Xenopus tropicalis: one gene and its partner. The protein of the gene in region 1 interacts with the protein of each later gene in a biochemical or structural test. Links are inferred from orthologs where the notes say so. Each region holds a gene or a part of one and is shown in the gene's direction. Other genes may lie near its edges.

Region 1 (8,411 bases):
CCCAACCTCTGCCTGACTTCTTGCTCAGGAACCTTTGCTGCCTGTCCCAACCTCTGCCTGACTTCTTGCTCAGGAACCTTTGCTGCCTGCCCGAACCTCTGCCTGGCTTCTTGCTTAGGAACCTTTGCTGCCTGCCCCAACCTCTGTGTGACTTCTTGCTTAGGAACCTTTGCTGCATGTCCCAACCTTTGCCCGACTTCTTGCTTAGGAACCTTTCCTGTCTGCCCCAACCTCTGCCTGGCTTCTTGCTTAGGGAACTATTGCTGCCTGCCCCAACCTCTGCTTGACTTCTTGCTTAGGAACCTTTGCTGCATGTCCCAACCTCTGCCTGACTTCTTGCTTAGGGAACTATTGCTGCCTGCCCCAACCTCTGCTTGACTTCTTGCTTAGGAACCTTTGCTGCATGTCCCAACCTCTGCCTGACTTCTTGCTTAGGAACCTTTGCTGCATGTCCCAACCTCTGCCTGACTACTTGCTTAGGAACTTTTGCTGCCTGTGCTAGTGGGCCATTATCTATGCTTGATTTATAGCTTATTTGCCACTCTGCTTTGGACATTTTTGGTCAGTGCATTATGAATAGCCCCATTGGTAAAGAACAGATCAACATTGGGCTGAGCTGCAGGAATATTCTCCTACCATCTGCTGCTCTGCACGGCGACCATATGTTATGACAAGGACTCAGCCCTTTCATAGCACCTCAGAAAACAGGAGAATAAGAACAGATTTCCCCAGCAGGTCACTCTGGTGCTCCCCCTACTGCCATATTACACCATGGCAAATGGCACCTCCCCCAGATGTATACATGCAAATATACAGAGGAATGTTCTGGGCACACAATAAGCTGTACACTCATACTGTACGGTCTAAGGAAAAGAATATGGCACCTCCCTCCCATATGTATAAATACAAATATACAGAGAAGGAATGTTCTGGGCACACAATAAGCTGTACCCTCATACTGTACTGTCTAAGGGAAACAATATGGCACCTTCCTCTCGTATGTATAAATACAAATATACAGAGAAGGAATGTTCTGGGTACACAATAAGCTGTACCCTCATACTATACTGTCTAAGGAAAAGAATATGGCACCTCCCTCCCATATGTATAAATACAAATATACAGAGAAGGAATGTTCTGGGCACACAATCAGCTGTACCCTCATACTGTTCTGTCTAAGGGAAAGAATATGGTACCTCCCTCACATATGTATAAATACAAATATACAGAGAAGGAATGTTCTGGGCACACAATAAGCTATACCCTCATGCTCTACTGTCTAAGGGAAACAATATGTATAAATACAAATATGCAGAGAGATGGCAGTGAATGTCACACAGCTGATGGTGTGGGTGGATTTAGTTAAATTTCATCTGTTAGATTTCTTTGTGTTGGTTACTTAAGAGTTAGAATATAATTTTCTCCTTCCTTATAATAAAAAGTGCAGCATGGGACCTTTTAACCTTTTATCCAGAATGCTTGGGACCTGGGTTTTTTTTGGATAAGGCATCTTTCTGTAATTTGGATCACCATAAATTTAGCCTCCTATACAATAATTTTTAGTTTGACGTAGAGAATGCTATTCTAATAAAAATTGTAATTGTTTTTATTATTTGCGATTTTTGACAACTATCTGGTTGCTATGGTCCAATTTGACCTAGCAACCAGGCAGTGATTTGAAAGAGAGACAGGAATATGAATAGATGAGGACCTAAATAAAAAGATAAGTAATAAAAAGGAACAATAACAATACAACTGTAGCCTCACAGAGCAATAGTTTTTTGGCTTCTGGGGTCAGTGACCCTCATTTGAAAGCTGGAATGAGTCAGAAGAAGCTAATAATTAAAAAAAAACTATACAAAATAAAAAATGAAGACCAATTAAAAAGTTGCTAAGAAGAGGCCATTCTATAGCATACTAAAAGTTAACCTGACCACCCAGTAGGATTGTTTTGCCACCAATTCATGATCTCTTTCTCAGGATAAAGTACAAGGGAGTCTATGAACGATGACCTTCCCATAATAGTTTTTGGATATTGGGTTTCCAGATCAGAGATCCCATACCTGTACCTACCTAACAGTAGGATAAAGGCAATGACAGGTACATTGTGTAGGTAATAACCCTATAGAACAGGGGTAGGGAACCTATGGCTCGAGAGCCAGATGTGGCTCTTTTGATGGCTGCATCTGGCTCGCTGCCAACTCTTTAATAAAATAAATAACGGGGGTGTGGCCTGCGCTCGGCGGATAGAAGATATGTTCTAAGCCTTAGAACACATCTTTTATCCACCGAGCGCAGGCCACACCCTCCTCCGCATCCGGCATCCTTGGGACACACCCTACCTTGCCCCGCAGCATCCGCGGCCAAACATATTGTATGGCTCTCGTGGAATTACATTTTAAAATATGTGGTGTTTATGGCTCTCTCAGCCAAAAAGGTTCCCAACCCCTGCTATAGAATGACTCCATTGTAAGAATGGAGGGGGAGAATAGTACATATGCTGCAATCTCAGCTTCAGCCAGCAGGTGGCACTAGCAGGCCAGTTCAATAAAAGCTGTCTCAGAGCAGGCATGTAAATTTATACATCACATATTTGCCATGCATGGCAGATGGGTATTATATCTGTGCCTGTATATAGTACATAACATTTATATATGATGCTGAATCAACACTCCCAGTGAAATCCCAGGAACAGAGCACTCACTTCTGGGAAGGCAAATCCTGTCCTTGTTCGGATCAGATGCTGAAACATTTTTACAACAGTATGGAGAGGAAGGGGGTCATTTACTTCTTCAAGCGTGCCTAAAAATTTGATTACTGGTGGCACAAAAGCTGTTAAAGGGTTACATAAACTCATGTGCAGAAGGAGTGTAGCAATCAGTGAGTGCTGGCTTATACTTCCTGCCTTGATTTGGAGTGTTTTTGATGAGTCCTGGTATAATTAGGGTTGCCACCTTGTTGCTATTTTACCAGTCTGGCTGGTAAAAATTATGCTTGATCCCCATGTTATTAATGGAGAAACTAAATACATAGAAAATATATTTTACCACAAAAGGTGGCAACCCTAAGTGTAAGAAGGCCCCTATATTGAATTTCAGGGTTAGTAATAGGGCTCCCCCTAACCCGGCTTTTTATACAATATCTGTTCCTTTCTACATCATCTGGGGCTAAAGCTTTCTTCCAGTTCCTGGTGTACCAAGAAAGGCATATTTGCACATGAGCCACCTTTGTTGACAGCATTGCTGCAAGTGACAATCTGTCACTACACAATCCACATTACACTTTGCTGCACCCTTAGCGCATACTCTTTAGCATGACGCTCCCTCTAGTGGCGGAAGAAGCAAAATGCAGTTAAAATCCCACCCCCTCATCATCCTGTCAGTGCTGCCTTAGCGCACACTCCTTAGCATTAGGCTCCCTCTTGTGGCAGCAGTTGCACATTGCCGTTTAAATCCCTAAGGAGCAGCGTATGCGCTTGAGTTGGCAGTCTGGGGAAGGCGCAGAGCGCACATCCAGGAGGAGGAGAAGCAGGAGAACGTCGATCTTAGGGGGTCCTACACATCTGTCCCCGCTGCCTTTCTCTGTCACTGGGGAAAAGGTGTAAGAAGCATATTAGATCGACGTTCCCAGGCTGAGGCAGACACAAGGCAGCCTTCCATCATGGGCAACCGAGGAATGGAGGAGCTGATTCCTCTGGTTAACCGGCTTCAAGATGCCTTTTCATCCATAGGACAAAATGCCAACCTGGACCTGCCACAGATCGCTGTGGTTGGGGGTCAGAGCGCTGGAAAGAGCTCGGTTCTGGAGAATTTCGTTGGCAAGTAAGTAAGGAAGATGATGGCTCACCTACCCGCATTATAATAACCTAAGGAGATGAGGAGGGGGGCAGTATAATATGTTTATTAGCAGATATCATTCAATGGCGACTGGGCTTTATTTGGCATTTTATTATCGCGATCTGTTGCCTAGAACGTTTTATCGCGATCTGGTCGAATAGAATAACGATGAATAATGGATATGTGTGCAATCTGAGACCCAAGGGTAGGATTCACCTTGTCCAACAGGCACAGCACAGAGAGGGGTCATCAGATATGGCATTGTCCTTGTACAGAACAGGCATTCCATGGCATCGCCCAGCAGGGCATCCTGGGGGTCCCTGACTGTATATTATTAGCGGGGTACCTAGGATGCATGGATATAAACATGCTTTATAGGGGCGAATGGAGAGGAATGGAGAAATAAAGATGGGGGAGGTGTTATAGGATACAGTGTGTCTCTTCTGCAATGAAGGAAGGGGGAGGGGGGGGAATTATAGGACCAATGTTATCAGTCTGCTTATACAGGGGGTAAATATGCCTTGATATAAAGTCCATATACAGCCCATTGCTGTACAGAGCAGAACTAGGCAAATACATGATACAAAGATGAGGGATGAATTGAATGAAGCCTTTGCGTTAAGGGCACCTTTAACTGGCACTGCAGTATTATTTGTTTTTGGGCTAAGACATAGGACGTCTGTCTTTTGGGGCTTAAGGCACCTTTCTTTTTTAGACCAAGCAGTTGCCCCCCCCCCCCTTCCTACTTAATATAAGTATCCTATTTAAAATAAATAAAGCGCCCTCTATATCAATTCTAATGTGACGGCATTTTGTTTACATTGACAAATACATTGGGACTCCTTCCAGCCTGCAGAGACATATGGAAGCTATCTATCATCTATCTATCTATCTATATATCTATCTATCTATCTATCTATCTATCTATCATCTATCTATCTATCTATCATCTATCTATCTATCTATCTATCTATCTTTATATACACACACACACATGGAGTAATGGCTCAATGGATCTGCCAGGCTGACGCTGCAATCATTATGTGTATTGCTTGGTTGTGATGGGATATCCCTGGTTGGTGCATTAGGCAGTGATGGTGCAGTTGGACTGGCGTTAATCAGTTGCAGGGAGTGCTGGCTCCTCAAGGTGACACTGGGAGTAGTAGGCACCGTCCCTATGTATTTGACTGAAGGGGTCAGATGGAATTGGATACTGACATGGGAAAAAGGTGCAGGGATTCTGCACTGAATAAATATTTTGTCTCTGTTAAACAGGATGTGCCCCAGAGCTTTAAACCTGAGCAGGAACAAGGCTATGCTGTACAATTATCATATTACATAGCCTTAAAGGGGAACTACAGCCAAATACAATGTCTTTATCTAATTAATGAAAAAGTAATTCTATGCAACTTTTCACTGTCAGTGGTTTGAAAGTTATATGTAAATGCAATAGCCTGTGAAAAGAAGGAAAAGGGTTGCTCGTTGGGGGGGGGGTTAATTTGTTAGGTGTCCCCAGTGAATGTATTGGGTAACCTCAGACCCTGGGCCAGTACTTCTCATTGCTGAAAAATGCCCGGCCTGTTGAGTACAGTTGAGCTGCCATCTTCTGTCTTGCCCCAGGGATCCATTGTGGCAGCCCTGAGCAGTCACAACCAGCAGTGCAGAGAATATAAACAGCCACATCCACAACAGAAGGTTTTGGGTTAGAGATTCCAAAAAAGGTCTTGGGTTGGAAATGTCCCTTTAATTAGTAATGGCAAATCAGATGCTGGGTGATTAGCCAATAGCTATGTGTTGCGCTTAATTACTCTGCTACCTGCTTTACACTAGCAAAGCCTCCAAATGAACTGTAGGGTTAAATGAGATTACAGGCTGTGAGCGCAGTCTCTGGAGAGAGCTGGAAGCAATAAGGGATACCAGCTGCTCCTGTAACCAGCAGGAGATTTGTGCTTTACCCTGGCTGTATAATCTCTATGTGCTAAGGACGTGGGGGGTTATTTTTTTTTGGGGGGGGGGGGTGTAATAGGCAAATATATATTTTATTTGATCTAAATAAAATAAGTATCTTTTTTTGATTAAATGTTCCTGGTGTGCATCAGCATTTTTTACATATTTACATTGTTTATCTGATTTGCACCCAGGTTGTAATCCCTATAAGTGTGTGCCTCAGCCTTTTTCTATATATATATATATATATATATATATATATATATATATATATATATATATATATATATATATATATATATATATATATACTGAGATATCTAATTAGGGAGGTCAATATAAGGGCCAAACAGTTGTAGGAAAAGGCTGGGGGCATAGTGGGTAAAGAGGAGGAAGGCAGCAACCTTTGGGGGAGGCAGATGGGCCACTGACTGATACAAAATGAATAAAGTTTTCTTATATAAAGTTCCCAAGGGGGCAGTAACTTCTAGGGATGCAGCTGATGGATATAGTAAGAGAAGACATGATGGCAAAAAGACCTTTCAGTCTGTATCCCCTCAGCCGCTGTTGGCATTACAGCTATATGCAGACCAAGGCTTTCTGGGGGGTAAGATTCTGGGATTTGTAGTTGGACAGTAGCTGAAGGCCTATAAGCTAGAACCGAGCAGTATGTGCTTTGCCAGCCTTGTATTCATATGTATAGACAATGCACAGCACTTTGTATGTTCAGCCATTATGATAGCGTATATTGGTGGTAGCAAAGTGTAACTAGTGGGTGCTAATTTGTTAGACATTCACTGTGAATATTGTCACTTGGATCTCAAACTGTTACCCCTCTCCCCTGAAAAAAAGCACCAGCACAGGGTAGATTTCCTTTTTGTATCTATGTATTTTAGCAGAGTTATTCTGCAGGAAGAATGGCTTACTTCCATGTGGGTGTAGCACCCCCACACCTGTCCCTTTAATGGTGGTCTTATGCCTTTAAAAAAATGGGTGTTGGATAATGGGCAGTCTTCTCCTTTACAAGCTGCAAGCCTGTAGGACCAAACTGTGGTCCTGGCAATCTCTCCCTATAAAAGCTGAAGGCATGGGAGTGACTACGCCCTCTGACTCAAACCAGCCCCCAGGTCAAGAATGGCAGTCTTTGAAAAATATGACCAGAGGTAAATAAATGGACCACCATAAATAAATAAATGGACCACCATACTGGGTTTACCTTAACGTGGTATGGTGGCTTACCAATCTTATGATCATAACTTTGTAACTAAAACCCCCTGTTTTTTGTAAATACATGCACTAGCATAGACAATTTAATTATGAAACAGGGGACCAGGGAATGTGCATTGATCAATCCCCCTCTCTTTTTGTATGCTTGTAGATTTCCTCTAAGCACTGCACTGTCACGGCAGGGTCCATGGAACTCTTGTGGCTGCCCAGGGCCATTTACATGCATAGTATAGTAAAATCAGCAATGTCATGGGTCAGGGCCCCAATACTAAGAGCATGGTTGCTTCCATGTTGTACCAAGAACACCCAACCCCTCTAGACCATCATTTGTGTTTCTTGCAGGCATCTGCTTGTCAATAACATGCATGTTCTATCCCTTTAATTACGTGTTTCATGGTAGCACTGACAGATTTACCCTTTGTGTCCATTACTGTGACCCTCATTTACTAACAAAAGTGCATAGTGCCCCCCCCCCCCCCCCCCCCCCCCCCACAGTTCAATAACCCATATTAACTAATCAGGATCAGTATTGTGCAGTTTATATGTTGCTGCAGTGTAAATGAAACCTGGTGCCTGGTAGAAATAACCAGTTTGGCATATGATTGCCATAGAAACAAGTAACATGATGCAGATACGCTAATGACATCCCAGTGGAGGTTCAATATGGGGGACCTTACCGTCTCCAGCAATGACCTCTGTACCCATCTATGTCTAATATTGGTCCCTCCACAGATTTTAGAATATATAAAGGGTGCAGGATGCATATTTACAGCCAAACCCCACATTTAACTTCCTGCGTTCCCATAGATTCCATTGGGTGCTTTTCATCTTCTTTTCCCTCATTTTGCACCAATATTTTGTACGAGTTTTCTGTAATGATACCAGTTAGATAACAAAGCTGTTTTTTCCTAGAAATACAGAATTCTGGGTTATTTGCATCTATTATGGCTACCTGTAAATCATGTATTTAGACAGGCTGGACACGTGACGTACAAGAAGTCATGCAAAGGCTGTGACAATAGTGTTAGCACATCAGAGACAAACTGCTTTCTATCTACAAAGGAAAGTACAGGCAATGACAGGGGAAAATTATTTTTGAGCTCATTAACTTTAAATACTGGAAGCTTTTGTTGCTTTGACACATTTCCATAAATATACATTTTCCCATATTTGGCTATAACTGGAGTTTTACTGTATGCAAGAAATATATTATGTTATTGGAGTTTACAATCTAAGGTCCCTATCACAGTCACACACTGGGGCAGTTTTATCAGGAGCCAATTAACTTGCCTGTATGTTATTGGGTGGTGGGGGAAACCTACGCTGACATATTGGTTTAAAGCTGCCCGTACATGGACTGATAAAACCTGCTGAGTTAGCAGCTTACCATCATAACTGGCC
Region 2 (7,735 bases), on another chromosome or scaffold:
CCCACAATGCATTGCACTGGGATGTTCCTTTCCTTACTGATATCACGTGTGCAGCAGGGGATTGTGGGATTGGGAGGAGGCAGGCTGAAGGCAGGCTGAGGGACAGGCAACTACTGTTACATTGTATTTGAGTCACAAAGTAGTCAGCCAGATCAGCAGGGGAACAGGGGGCGGGGCTTAGGGAACTGTTCCAAACCATATTATTACATTAAACATCATGAAAAGGCTGAATATTGTTTAATTGATGTACATTGCAAAGTTGCTTGAAATTATGTTTACTTTTCAAAAAGCTCAAGTTGTGTTTGGAAGTTGAAGTTCCTGTTTAAACTTGTATGTAATTATATAGAGATATATACCTATAGGGGGGTTTGTTGGGTCAGCGTTGTGATTCACCCGTGGGCAATTACCCGTACTTGTGTCTTCTGAAAGTGGGACCTGTATCTGCAATGGGATGTCTTGTCGTTGGCAGGGTGTGCAGACCTACATCTCCTGGACATGCTGAGTCCCACCGAGAGGAAGAGGCAAGGGTACATCCACGAGCTCATTGTCACCGAGGAGAACTATGTCAATGACTTACAGTTAGTCACCGAGGTACGTTTAGCCGCGGGCTGCTCATTCCCTACAGGCAAGGCTGCTCATTCCCTACAGGCAAGGCTGCTCATTCCCTACAGGCAAGGCTGCTCATTCCCTACAGGCAAGGCTGCTCATTCCCTACAGGCAAGGCTGCTCATTCCCTACAGGCAAGGCTGCTCATTCCCTACAGGCAAGGCTGCACATTCCCTAAAGGCAAGGCTGCACATTCCCTACAGGCAAGGCTGCTCATTCCCTACAGGCAAGGCTGCTCATTCCCTACAGGCAAGGCTGCTCATTCCCTACAGGCAAGGCTGCTCATTCCCTACAGGCAAGGCTGCACATTCCCTAAAGGCAAGGCTGCACATTCCCTACAGGCAAGGCTGCTCATTCCCTACAGGCAAGGCTGCACATTCCCTAAAGGCAAGGCTGCACATTCCCTACAGGCAAGGCTGCTCATTCCCTACAGGCAAGGCTGCTCATTCCCTACAGGCAAGGCTGCTCATTCCCTACAGGCAAGGCTGCACATTCCCTAAAGGCAAGGCTGCACATTCCCTACAGGCAAGGCTGCTCATTCCCTACAGGCAAGGCTGCTCATTCCCTACAGGCAAGGCTGCACATTCCCTAAAGGCAAGGCTGCACATTCCCTACAGGCAAGGCTGCACATTCCCTACAGGCAAGGCTGCACATTCCCTACAGGCAAGGCTGCACATTCCCTACAGGCAAGGCTGCACATTCCCTACAGGCAAGGCTGCTCATTCCCTACAGGCAAGGCTGCTCATTCCCTACAGGCAAGGCTGCACATTCCCTAAAGGCAAGGCTGCACATTCCCTACAGGCAAGGCTGCTCATTCCCTACAGGCAAGGCTGCTCATTCCCTACAGGCAAGGCTGCTCATTCCCTACAGGCAAGGCTGCACATTCCCTAAAGGCAAGGCTGCACATTCCCTACAGGCAAGGCTGCACATTCCCTACAGGCAAGGCTGCACATTCCCTACAGGCAAGGCTGCACATTCCCTACAGGCAAGGCTGCACATTCCCTACAGGCAAGGCTGCACATTCCCTACAGGCAAGGCTGCTCATTCCCTACAGGCAAGGCTGCACATTCCCTACAGGCAAGGCTGCTCATTCCCTACAGGCAAGGCTGCACATTCCCTACAGGCAAGGCTGCACATTCCCTAAAGGCAAGGCTGCTCATTCCCTACAGGCAAGGCTGCTCATTCCCTACAGGCAAGGCTGCTCATTCCCTACAGGCAAGGCTGCTCATTCCCTACAGGCAAGGCTGCACATTCCCTACAGGCAAGGCTGCTCATTCCCTACAGGCAAGGCTGCACATTCCCTAAAGGCAAGGCTGCACATTCCCTAAAGGCAAGGCTGCTCATTCCCTACAGGCAAGGCTGCACATTCCCTACAGGCAAGGCTGCTCATTCCCTACAGGCAAGGCTGCTCATTCCCTGCAGGCAAGGCTGCTCATTCCCTACAGGCAAGGCTGCTCATTCCCTACAGGCAAGGCTGCTCATTCCCTACAGGCAAGGCTGCTCATTCCCTACAGGCAAGGCTGCACATTCCCTACAGGCAAGGCTGCTCATTCCCTACAGGCAAGGCTGCACATTCCCTAAAGGCAAGGCTGCTCATTCCCTACAGGCAAGGCTGCACATTCCCAACAGGCAAGGCTGCACATTCCCTACAGGCAAGGCTGCTCATTCCCTACAGGCAAGGCTGCTCATTCCCTACAGGCAAGGCTGCACATTCCCAACAGGCAAGGCTGCACATTCCCTACAGGCAAGGCTGCTCATTCCCTACAGGCAAGGCTGCTCATTCCCTACAGGCAAGGCTGCTCATTCCCTAAAGGCAAGGCTGCTCATTCCCTACAGGCAAGGCTGCTCATTCCCTACAGGCAAGGCTGCTCATTCCCTACAGGCAAGGCTGCTCATTCCCTACAGGCAAGGCTGCACATTCCCAACAGGCAAGGCTGCACATTCCCTACAGGCAAGGCTGCTCATTCCCTACAGGCAAGGCTGCTCATTCCCTACAGGCAAGGCTGCTCATTCCCTACAGGCAAGGCTGCTCATTCCCTACAGGCAAGGCTGCTCATTCCCTACAGGCAAGGCTGCTCATTCCCTACAGGCAAGGCTGCTCATTCCCTACAGGCAAGGCTGCTCATTCCCTACAGGCAAGGCTGCTCATTCCCTACAGGCAAGGCTGCTCATTCCCTACAGGCAAGGCTGCTCATTCCCTACAGGCAAGGCTGCTCATTCCCTAAAGGCAAGGCTGCTCATTCCCTACAGGCAAGGCTGCACATTCCCTACAGGCAAGGCTGCTCATTCCCTACAGGCAAGGCTGCTCATTCCCTACAGGCAAGGCTGCTCATTCCCTAAAGGCAAGGCTGCTCATTCCCTACAGGCAAGGCTGCACATTCCCTACAGGCAAGGCTGCACATTCCCTACAGGCAAGGCTGCTCATTCCCTACAGGCAAGGCTGCACATTCCCTACAGGCAAGGCTGCTCATTCCCTACAGGCAAGGCTGCTCATTCCCTACAGGCAAGGCTGCTCATTCCCTACAGGCAAGGCTGCTCATTCCCTACAGGCAAGGCTGCTCATTCCCTACAGGCAAGGCTGCTCATTCCCTACAGGCAAGGCTGCTCATTCCCTACAGGCAAGGCTGCTCATTCCCTACAGGCAAGGCTGCTCATTCCCTACAGGCAAGGCTGCTCATTCCCTACAGGCAAGGCTGCTCATTCCCTACAGGCAAGGCTGCTTCCTGACTCCCTACTTGAGCGTCCGTACAACCGCCATACTCCCAGTTACTGGATACGGGATTTCTTTCCAACCCATCCATCCTGGAGCCACCATTTGTCAATAAATTTGCAAAGACACAGGGATTTCTATCAGTATTCTGTTATTGGGCAACTGACACCATATAGTTCTATGTAAGGCTATGATTGGCTCACATTTTAGTCATTAATGCAATTGTTTCTTAGTACAGGTATGGGACCTGTTATGCTTGGGACCTGGGGTTTTCCAGATAAGGGATCTCTCCATAATTCAGATCTCTTACCTTAAGACTGCTAAAAAAAAAAATAATTTAAACATGAAATAAACCCAATATGGCTGTTCTGCCCCCAATTAGGGGTAATTATATCTTAGTTGGGATCAAGTACAGGTACTGTTTTATTATTACAGAGAAAAGGGAATCATTTAACCATGAAATAAACCCAATAGGGCTGTTCTGCCCCAATAAGGGGTAATTATATCTTAGTTGGGATCAAGTACAGGTACTGTTTTATTATTACAGAGAAAAGGGAATCATTTAACCATTAAATAAACCCAATAGGGCTGTTCTGCCCCCAATTAGGGGTAATTATATCTTAGTTGGGATCAAGTACAGGTACTGTTTTATTATTACAGAGAATAGGGAATCATTTAACCATTAAATAAACCCAATAGGGCTGTTCTGCCCCAATAAGGGGTAATTATATCTTAGTTGGGATCAAGTACAGGTACTGTTTTATTATTACAGAGAAAAGGGAATCATTTAACCATTAAATAAACCCAATAGGGCTGTTCTGCCCCAATAAGGGGTAATTATATCTTAGTTGGGATCAAGTACAGGTACTGTTTTATTATTACAGAGAAAAAGGAATCATTTTTAAAAATGTGAAGACTATGGAAGATGGTCTTGTGTAATTCGGAACTTTCTGGATAATGGGATCTGGATAAGGATTCCAATACCTGTACCTGCATTTCTATGGATTTTTACCTAAGCTAATTAAACACTCAGTCCAGAATGAGTTCTTATAGGCAGCTGCTTCTTTTTTAAACGGATTGTTTAACTTTTAGTATGTTATAGAATATTCTGTTCCTAGCAACTTTGCAGTTGGTCTTCATTTTTTATTTTTTATAGTTTTTGCATTATTTCTGTTCCTTTTCTACATCTTTCCACAACCGCAGCCAAAACCAAACAATTGTTCTGTGAGCTTACAGTGTTATTATTATTATTATTATTGTTACTTTTAATTTGTATTCTTCTGTTCATAATTCAGTTTTTCATTTATACCACTGCTTGGTTGCTAAGGTAATCAAGACCCTAGCAACCAGATAGTTGCTGAAATTACAAGCTGGAGAGCTGCCGGACAAAAAGCTAAATAACTGAAAAACCATAAAAAATGAAAACCAGTTGCAAATTGTCTCAGAACATTAATGTCCATGTCAGGCTAAAAGTCAATTTAAAGGTAAACTAACCCTATAACTAACAGCTAGCCATACTGGCGTGACTTTGTGCTATATTATCACAGGTACTAGTACCAATTAACTGGTTTTTATCGCCGCCAATTATCAGTGCACCCTGTTTCCCCCTGTACAACACAGACATTCCAAAAGCCTCTGCTGGAATCTGAATTACTGACGGAGAAGGAAGTTGCCATGATTTTTGTCAACTGGAAGGAGCTGATAATGTGCAATATCAAACTGCTCAAGTAAGATCCTCTGGGCACTTAGCCTAGAATATTGCTTTGTACTTTGATTGGATGATCTAAGCATTTTTACCATTTACATTTAATATGGTTTTTTTTCTAGTTGTCATGATATTAGCAGTTGTTACACATTGTAACATTGGTCTGACTGGTGCCCAGACTGGCACAATATGGCTAAAACGGGTAATAATTAGAGTTTGTTTCTGTCACTCCCAGGGCCTTGCGAGTTCGCAAGAAAATGTCTGGGGAGAAGATGCCGGTGAAGATGATCGGGGACATCCTGACGGCCCAGTTGCCCCACATGCAGCCGTACATTCGCTTCTGCAGCTGCCAGCTCAACGGCGCCGCTCTCATTCAGCAGAAAACGGACGAGGTGCCCGAGTTCAAGGAGTTTGTGAAAGTAAGTGATTCATGTGCCCCCCCTAATAACCACACAGGCGGCGGGTATTATTGTGCTTCCAAGCCTAAATGCAGAGGGTTGCCATTCCCTGGCACAGAAAGTCACAGGATGTTTTATTTACCAGGGGAAATCTCTTTATCCCTGTATTGGCTTCTCCCCTGCACCGATCCTACCTGCCCTTCCTGCCTCTCTTCTCACCCCTTCATCTTTTATCTCCTACAGTTTCTTGCATCCCCCGGCCTTTCATTCTCCCCGGCCTCCCTGCCTCAAAGACTTCCTACTAAATGGGCACATTGTGTGTTTAGAGCATTGGTTCCAAACTCTTCAGCTGGACCCCCAGTTTGGAATCGGTGGGCCCTGCCTGAAGCAGGTCTGGACTGGGATTCCAAATAGGCCCTGGCATTCCCAGTACACAGAGGCACAAACCACACCCCCCCCCCCCCGGCTCAATAAATAGTGAGTGTCTATGGAATCTTACAGCAGCCCCTCTGGCATTTGCCTGAACCTACAGATTTCCAGTCCGGGCCTGGCCTGAGGGCAGGTAGATGAGTTTTGGGGGGAATGCCTATTAGCTTTCTTATACTTCTATAAACCCAGTGTGATGCAGAATGAACACAGAACTAAGTCCAGAATGTCCACAATGTTAATGCTCCTCAGCGGAATTTATACACATGGAATCGTCTTGCCCATAAATTCAGTTACTAGACCGGATCAATATTAAGACAGATCTATCCTTACCAATAGACCCCATGGTACCAGATGAAAGACATTTTGCCCCAAAAGGGCACATCAGACTCTATTATCTATACTGTGCCTGTATGCAAAGCAGACCATATCTATGAACTGGAAATCTCAGACCTACCCTAAAGTCCTGGGAACAAATTAGAGAGCCCCCCCTTCCCCACACCCATGGATAAATTTGTAAAATAACAACCACTAACTGAGTCCTTGGACTCCTGTGTGATCACTGGTGTCATGTTGGGAACCTTGTTGGGAGAAACCCCAGAGCAAATGTTGGGCCTCAAAACAGGGCATCAACCATAGACACCCAGAAACCAATGTTTTAGGCTGTAGAGGTCGCTGCAGGGATATTGCCCCTTTGTACAAATGTTTTTGACTGTTACATATAAATGCATTTAATCTTGTCATTTCAGAGGCTTGCAATGGATCCCCGGTGTAAGGGAATGCCGCTGTCCAGCTTCCTACTCAAACCCATGCAGAGAGTAACCAGATACCCGCTCATCATTAAAAATGTATGGAACCTTTTGTTTTTCTAAATGTGCCCCAAACTTTAGCTTCTATCTGTAACATCAGATCTGTATGTGTAAGTGCCCCCCGCTGTGCCCCCCGCTGTACCCCCCAACTGTACCTTCTGTACGGCAGCACATTAGCATTATAAGCACCAGCGCAACTCATTACTGATAATGGGCTGAAGCCTTGATTAATAATCTGTACTTATGATATGTATTAATTTTCTGTTTTGCAGATTATTGAAAATACTCCAGAAAATCACCCTGACCACAGCCACCTGAAGCAAGCCCTAGAGAAAGCCGAAGAATTATGTTCCCAAGTGAATGAGGGGGTTCGGGAGAAGGAAAACTCAGACCGACTGGAGTGGATTCAGGCGCACGTTCAGTGTGAGGGTTTGTCTGAGGTACGTCCTGTAGTCCAGCCGGCCGGGTAGGGAGCCTAACGGGCCCAGGTGCTCTGTACAGTACTCAGCTAATGGGCCCATATCAGCTCTGTACAGTACTCAGCTAATGGGCCCATATCAGCTCTGTACAGTACTCAGCTAATGGGCCCATATCATCTCTGTACAGTACTCAGCTAATGGGCCCATATCAGCTCTGTACAGTACTCAGCTAATGGGCCCATATCAGCTCTGTACAGTACCCAGCTAATGGGCCCATATCAGCTCTGTACAGTACTCAGCTAATGGGCCCATATCAGCTCTGTACAGTACCCAGCTAATGGGCCCATATCAGCTCTGTACAGTACCCAGCTAATGGGCCCATATCAGCTCTGTACAGTACCCAGCTAATGGGCCCATATCAGCTCTGTACAGTACTCAGCTAATGGGCCCATATCAGCTCTGTACAGTACTCAGCTAATGGGCCCATATCAGCTCTGTACAGTACCCAGCTAATGGGCCCATATCAGCTCTGTACAGTACCCAGCTAATGGGCCCATATCAGCTCTGTACAGTACCCAGCTAATGGGCCCATATCAGTGCTCTGTACAGTACTCAGCTAATGGGCCCATATCAGCTCTGTACAGTACCCAGCTAATGGGCCC

What was found. The genes of interacting proteins can lie anywhere in the genome.
Region 2: the proteins of dnm1 (region 1) and itsn1 form a complex in vitro, tested with the Homo sapiens proteins (2 studies listed by BioGRID and IntAct, with this or other methods). The link is inferred for Xenopus tropicalis from reciprocal best matches to the Homo sapiens genes DNM1 and ITSN1.

The regions. Positions count from the first base shown.
Region 1 is NC_030684.2:22,789,216-22,797,626, reverse strand, and holds the start of dnm1 (dynamin-1), read left to right. Parts: upstream 1-3,486; 5' UTR 3,487-3,660; coding exon 3,661-3,821; intron 3,822-8,411. UniProt on the Homo sapiens protein: Catalyzes the hydrolysis of GTP and utilizes this energy to mediate vesicle scission and participates in many forms of endocytosis, such as clathrin-mediated endocytosis or synaptic vesicle endocytosis as well as rapid endocytosis (RE).
Region 2 is NC_030678.2:14,210,116-14,217,850, forward strand, and holds part of itsn1 (intersectin-1), read left to right. Parts: intron 1-469; coding exon 470-591; intron 592-4,936; coding exon 4,937-5,043; intron 5,044-5,256; coding exon 5,257-5,440; intron 5,441-6,594; coding exon 6,595-6,693; intron 6,694-6,926; coding exon 6,927-7,094; intron 7,095-7,735. UniProt on the Homo sapiens protein: Adapter protein that provides a link between the endocytic membrane traffic and the actin assembly machinery. Acts as a guanine nucleotide exchange factor (GEF) for CDC42, and thereby stimulates actin nucleation mediated by WASL and the ARP2/3 complex.